Arabidopsis thaliana: one gene and its partner. The protein of the gene in region 2 purifies or fractionates together with the protein of the main gene of each other region. This does not show direct contact. Each region holds a gene or a part of one and is shown on either strand. Other genes may lie near its edges.

Evidence for each region. Proteins that work in one complex are often made in the same cells at the same time.
Region 1: the proteins of AT1G16740 (region 2) and AT5G55140 fractionate together in Arabidopsis thaliana (co-fractionation; one large-scale study listed by BioGRID). This does not show direct contact.

What each region holds. Positions count from the first base shown.
Region 1 is NC_003076.8:22,379,358-22,382,694, reverse strand, and holds AT5G55140 (ribosomal protein L30 family protein), read right to left. Parts: upstream 1,700-3,337; 5' UTR 1,583-1,699; intron 1,363-1,582; 5' UTR 1,326-1,362; coding exon 1,134-1,325; intron 1,046-1,133; coding exon 908-1,045; 3' UTR 501-907; downstream 1-500. Other genes in the region: AT5G55150 (F-box SKIP23-like protein (DUF295)), read left to right, coding at 1-420; AT5G55135 (uncharacterized protein), read right to left, coding at 2,309-2,566, 2,656-2,736; AT5G55132 (Defensin-like (DEFL) family protein), read right to left, coding at 3,226-3,337.
Region 2 is NC_003070.9:5,725,924-5,729,619, reverse strand, and holds AT1G16740 (Ribosomal protein L20), read right to left. Parts: upstream 1,999-3,696; 5' UTR 1,848-1,998; coding exon 1,662-1,847; intron 865-1,661; coding exon 670-864; 3' UTR 505-669; downstream 1-504. Other genes in the region: AT1G16750 (GPI-anchored adhesin-like protein, putative (Protein of unknown function, DUF547)), read left to right, coding at 1-7, 88-399; UP6 (uncharacterized protein), read left to right, coding at 2,308-2,772, 2,860-3,003; HCF173 (high chlorophyll fluorescence phenotype 173), read right to left, coding at 3,372-3,443, 3,522-3,569.

The sequences.
Region 1 (3,337 bases), on a different chromosome or scaffold from region 2:
AGCACCTCGCCGTTTCGGTACGACTCTTGCAAGAAATACTTGGCAGAGTCGGATTACGACGAACTGTGGGTGGTCCTAAAGAAGCTGGAGCTTAACGACGATTGTGATTTCGAAACCTCTTTCGAGATTTACGAATTCAATCGCGAGACTAACGAATGGACAAAGGTGATGAGCTTGAGAGGAAAAGCTTTGTTCTTGAGCCCTCAAGGTAGATGTATAGCTGTTTTAGCAGGTGAGAGAGGATTTTTCAAAGACAACTCAGTTTATTTCATTGATGGTGATGATCCAAGTGTAGGAGGATCAGGGCCTCAGAATCTGAGCGTTTTTGAATGGGAGAGTAAGCAAATCATGAAAATTTACCAGCCAAGATCTTGGAATTGTCAGATGTTTTGGGTCACACCAACAGACGTTCCTCAGTGATGAATGACTGATGCATTGTAGAATTTGTAGTTTGCATAGTATAGGTTTTGTATTTCAAATTTCAATTCTTTGATACATTACAATTGTCATCATACATTTTGGTTCTTCATCTGTAACATATATATTAAGTTATGATTATTTCAGCATCTATCTTTCTCTCACTACTTTCATTAATCAAATTGAAAGGTAACTTTTTTGAGAATCAACTTTCACATTCTCAATCTTGAAACATTGGCCACAAAAAAAAAAAAAAACCGATAGATTTGAGATTGACAGAATGAGAGCAAAACATACACAAGTATCCAGTGTATACAAAAAACATAAAGAGGCACCAAACACACTGATACCAACATTTCTTATCAAGCGTCTAGGACTAGTTTACTTCCTGGACACCTTTAGAGAGAACTTAAACATAAGCCGCCTACAATATCCAAGCGGATCTTATCGAACTGACGGTAGAAGAGCTTACCATCTTATGAAAGTACTCTCAAGACATGTTGGATGAATCTGTTGCAGGACTCGAATGACTGACAACGAGAGGCGGGCGCAAAGCTTTGTGGTTGGCTTCTGCTTCTTTACGAGCATTGTACATTTCTTCTGTTTCAACAACAACCATCCTTTTAACCTACATAGAGGCAAAACCAACCATCACAATTTTGAAATCTAGGATTTTATGACAAATGAGAATAGATAAAAAGATAAAGGAAGAGAACCTGATCAATCATTCCCCTAATGGATGAATTGTTTGAATGCAAAACAGTACGATGACATCTACGAAGTCCCATAGCTTCAAGTGTTCGTCTGTGAAGCTTCCTTGTTCCAGGGAGACCTCTTACTAAGGTTATGTACAAGCTCTGGCTCCATTCAATAGGCACTTGTGCTTTGAAAGCTCTAAAACCACTCATTCTTTTTTTTTTTTGTCTCCTTTATCACTCAATCTCTCTGTAACCATTAACAAAATCATAATCAAGCAATCACACAGAATTCACCGTAGAAATCAATAGATACAATAAACGAAGACGATTGATAACATGAATCATGAGAGAGTGAATCATCACGAATTGAAACCAAATCAGATCGATCAATTCAGAAGAAAAGAGGAGCTGCATAACGCGAGATTTCAATTAGGTGTTTGAGATAGAAATGGATGGTTTTCGAGTACCTTGAGGAAACAGAGACGGGAGAAGTCCGGTGAAAGAGATCGTCGACGAGTGTAGTCAAGACGGCGAACAGAGCTCGGAAAATCTTTGAGATTCGCGTTTAAGGGTTTTAAGCTTTTAGCGGAACAATGGTTAAACGACAGCGTTTTGTAGATTAGCTTAATTATTTGGGCTTTATCTGGGCCCAATTATTGGCTCCTTTACCTTTTTATAATTTGTTCAAAAATTACTAGATTGGTTTCATTTTTTTTACATCAATCTTTAGATTTATTAATCTTGCAAAAACAATTTATTTCAGAAAGTGTATGATGAACAGTCAAATTCCACTGCTCTCATCACTAGTTCTAACCTCTAAATTGGTAAAAGCTATTTGCTAGGTAGGTGTATTATTTAAGGTTTTTCTACCTTCTATAAGTTCAATAGCTTTAAATCTTGGGGTTGATCAATATTATTACTAATGAGTAATGATGCATTATTAAAAAGAGAAAATTATCAAAGTAAATTATATTTATACAAAAGTAGTAGCTAAATTACATAACTAAAAGAAATCGGTAAACTTACAAATATTGGTAGACAAGAAAAAGAGAGAAAAAGGGCAACCGTTCTTCTATCCATTACTCGATTTATTATACAAAGTACATGAAGCCTATAATATTACATACATGATACATGATGCATATTATTACATACTACTACTTTACAAGTGATATCTAACAAATGCACATACGTTATATTCCTTTAGCCGTGTTGATAGGCAAACCATCATCATCATCCTCAGGTCTCTTCTTATAATTATAGTCTTTCTTATCTAAAAACGCCTCTTTCACCTTCTCCACATCCGCCTCAGAATCACCGGAGACGTTTACCGCCACCGCAGCTCCGTCAAAAGCCTTCTCAACTGTTTGGCTAGCAACACCTTGTCTTGTGAACTCCTCCGCCGTCGAAGAAGCTCTTCCTTCTTCCCTCCCTCCACTCGCACTTCCTCTCTACATATTAAGAAAACATCTCCAAAAATCTTTGTATATATATATAGTTAATCTATTTCATGAAAACGTAGGAATATCAGAATATATACCTTGAGATAAAAAGAGTAAATACATGATGTTGTTATATTAGGCTTGGAGATTGATTTTGGGTTCACATAATTTCTCAACATTTTTTCTTCGGAGGTCTCTTATTTTTGCAGCTTAGATTAGATCAAGTACCATAGATGAATTTTCCTATAGCAGTTAATTGAGACTTTTGATGTCTCATCAACGGAGGTTATGATTATGATGCCACGTGTGTGTGATGCGCCGTCGTAGCCAAAAGATGACATGTTTCCCAGGGTTAGTCACGACGTCATGCAATTTCCTTTGTAGTTAAATCCAATATACGAAGATTTCTATTTCATATTCTACAGTTTCATACATAACTTTACATGATCGATTTGACAAAATCGATGTCCTAATGACATTAACTATAAGTCGAACCGCTGTCGTTTTTCTTGTGGATTTTATTGTGTACATGTATTGAATTCTTATAAACATTTTGATGAGAGAGATTGGGGGTTGGATCAGGATGAGATTATATCAATTATCATTATATAAATATATGTTTTTAATAATATCTTATGATCGAGAGTACATATAGAATAAGAGATCAATCAATTGATGACCGGACTGGAGATGGGAGAATTAGAATAATTGTTGCAGCAACAAAATATTTTAACAGCCCCGTGAATTTTAGCGCTTTCACAATACCCTCCGCCTCTCATC
Region 2 (3,696 bases):
TCCTGCGGTAATATTTCCATATCTATCTGCATTTTACATCAGATTCTTGAACCGATATTGCAAATTTCTCACAGAAATTGCTTGCAGGTGAGAATATACTCAGCCGAGAACGTAGGAGAAGAACTTGAAGAAGCTCAGAAAGATTATATCCAGGCGTCAGTGGGAGTGAGCCCAAGGGGAAAGTTGATTGTGCCCCAAATGCTTCACTGTTTCGCCAAGAAATCTGTCGATGACTGCAAGGTTGCTCTGTGGATTTCTCGTCATTTGCCTCCTCGCCAAGCTGCATTTGTTGAGCAGTGTATTCACAGGCGACAATGGTGGGGTTTTCTGGGTTCATCTAGTAGCAAATGCGGCATAGTTCCTTTTGATTCACGGTTCCGATATTTGTTTCTTCCGTAGCAAGGCATTGATTCACAATGATGTGATTAAAGCAAATACTGTTCCGATCCTAGGGTTTAGATCTATGATTATTTAGGTGATTCAATCTTATTTTCTCAAACTAATAAACAAATAAATGGATTTAGATCTGCTCAACGAAATAAAGAAGACGAAATACATTCTCTCAAATTGCAAAAGTATAGTAATATCACCGGGGTACATGTTATTCTGACAAATAACTAAATATTCCGTGTTCATAAGAAGGACAAGATTAAACTAACTTGGTCCTAACTAGGCATTGATGGATGAAATGTCTACTTTCCGAGATGCTTGGACCACGTTCTTGTTTCCAGGGAACGACTTGCGGGAGACATCCACAAGTGCTTTGAAACTGTAAGGTTCATGCATAGATAACTCAGAGAGGACTTTGCGGTTCAGCTGGATGTTCTCCTTCATCAGTCCATGGATGAAGTTCCCGTAGTTCACCTGTTTCAAGTTTTAGATGTTAGGATTCCAATCAAACATGTCATTTCCATCTTATTCAAAAGAAACAGAGTATTATAATAGCATATATTTAGCTTGTTACAAAGCTAAAACGAGGTAACCGAGTTAGAAAAATATGTTTCTCTACTTGAATTAGGAAGTAATCATTGTTTCAGTTAGATCAAAACTATTGACATGAAATGTGTTTTTCCTCTAATCAATCCGAAATGATTCACTTCTTTAAGCATATTTGAGTTTCAAATTAAACATTCACATCCAAAATCTCCATTGGATAAATATCTCAAACTCAGATATTGGAAAGCTCCAAATTGATCAAAGATACAACAGTAAAATCTGAAGAAAATAAGCTAATCTAAAATGCACTTTAATTCAACTATTCAATCTAATTCTTTCGCTTCTAGTTATAACCAACAAGTTTTAACTCTATCACTAGGTAGATGCAAACATAGAGTGCCACTGCATAAGAAAAATCTCTAGAATACAGCAAAAAAGTTAAGACTATAATGTAATCCATCAAGTTCTGTTTGAAACATCAAACTAGAACTTGTTATACTAGCAACCACAGACTCTGGAGAAATCAAGCACCCAAATTTAACAAAAGAAAACCCTAAATCCCAAGCTCCATCCTAAAAGAAACTCATCATAGATTGCAAAAATAAACCAACCAATATCTCAGAAGTTTTATTTATAAACTAATCATGATTTATCGAATCAATGCAATTAGCAGTGACGGGAAGCAAATAGGCAAAAATCTAATCAATATTGGGGGGAAAACGTACACCGTGCTGACGAGAACCGGCGTTGATGCGCTCGATCCAGAGACCTCTCATCTCACGTTTCTTGTTGCGCCTATCTCTGTAAGAGTACTGCAGAGCTTTCTCGACTCTTTCCCTCGCAATTCTTATACAATTCTTAGCTCTTCCTCTGAAACCCTTCGCTAGCTTGAAGATCTCCTTCTTGTTCATCTTTTCTCTTTATTCTTCTTCCTCCTCTATCTATTCTTCGTCCTTCTCTCACTAATACTGTAACTCCATTTCCTTCTTCTAACGCCGCCTCTGTGTATCCCCCTTCTGTTTCAATTCCGGGTCGATCGGGTCGGGTCGTAGACAAATCCGGTCACACAATTATTAAAACCAATTCTCCATCTACTGGGCCTTTATTATATAACATCACAAACTAAACAAAGCCCACTATCCCATCCAGTAACTCCCGACAGAGGACACGTGTTGCCATGTCATTACCACGTGTCACAAGCTTTCCAACTCTGCTTCATTTTCCCGGGAAACAAACAAAAACAGAACCATTATTACTTTTCCGGAAACAGAATTTAAGTGGCTTTGCTCTGTTCTTCTCGACCCATCACACAGAAAAAACCAAAAAAAGAAAGAATTTCAAGTTTTCAACTGTCAAAATCTTGTAGTAGTAATGGAAAATCATCACCGAATATCCGCCACAAAATACAACGGCGAAGCAGTGTCGGACGATGTGGGCCAGGGGAAGCTATATTCTCCAAACCACGCGATCAAAATCTCTCCAGAATCCGACGAAAACGTGGGCCAAGGGAACCTCTACTCTCCTGACCACGCGATCAAAATCGCAACGAACCCTGATTCCGTGGATTCCTCATCAGAGGAAGAAGAAGGAGAGAAGCAGAGGAAGACGATCATGTTGGGGCTGAAGAATCTTGCGGCGGTTAAGGATAAAGTGTTAGAAAAACTATCGGCTGCTTCGGTTCCATCTGAGTCGCTTGAAAACGCTAAACAGTTTTTGGAAGGAGCCATTAAGGATTTCGCCGGAGCGGCGCAGGGTATGACGAAAGACGCGTTGCACCGGATTAAAACTCAGCTCGCTGTTATTGTTCCGTCTGTTTCTCCTGCCGTCACCGAAAAGGTTTAGTTTTAAAAACAATTGGTCCACCGGGTAAACTAATTTGGACTCTTTTTTGGCTGACTTGTGAATTTACTTTTGACGGAGCAGATAGTGGACGATGCTGAGAAAGAAGCCATTGACGGAGAGGAAGAAGATGAGAGCAAGTCAAAAGAAAGCTCCGGAAAGTTGCCGTTTGTTTCTCCGACATCTTCGTTTTTCAGCTCTCTCGCCAAACCTTTCTCCAAGCTTTGATGGGTTTGTGTCGTACGCCTTCATGACTATCTGAGATAAATAAGACAAAGTCTGAGATCTTCTGAAGTTTCAATGTTTACTTATAATGAATGAAGATACTTTTTATGTTTATCATTCAAAATATTATGAGTTTTGTGTAATAGAAAACTGGGTTTCACACCCTTTTTATTATGTTGGTGGCCTTGGATTGTTTGTATTAGCACACAAATTTTAAGTTGAATATAAGAAATAAATGGTAATGGACATAAAGAGACCAAAGAGATTCTTGTATGTACAAGTTATACATGTACGTATGTATATATGCATGTAATGCGTATCAGAGCTTGAGATGTGTACAATATACAAAATGGAATCAATGATTCTTCTTCTCATGTGTTCTTCTCAAGTACAGATAAAGCCGGAGTCAGATAGTTGTTCGCCTTGTCTGGCAAATGAGCCACCTGAAAGAGACAAACACTATCAGATGATGTAATGATGTAGATGTGACTCTTATTGCAAGTGATTGTTTACTCTTTTACCAGCTCATAGAGTTCTATTCCTTGCTCAGCAACGTATTCATGGCAAACCTGTAAAAACCAAATGGAAGAAATTTGAGAGATCCATGATGTGATTTCTTCTTTATAGATCAAAGATTGAATCTTTCTTAGTTTTGGTTCTTGAAAAGGGTCAAAGATTGATTCTTTCTCAGTTGTT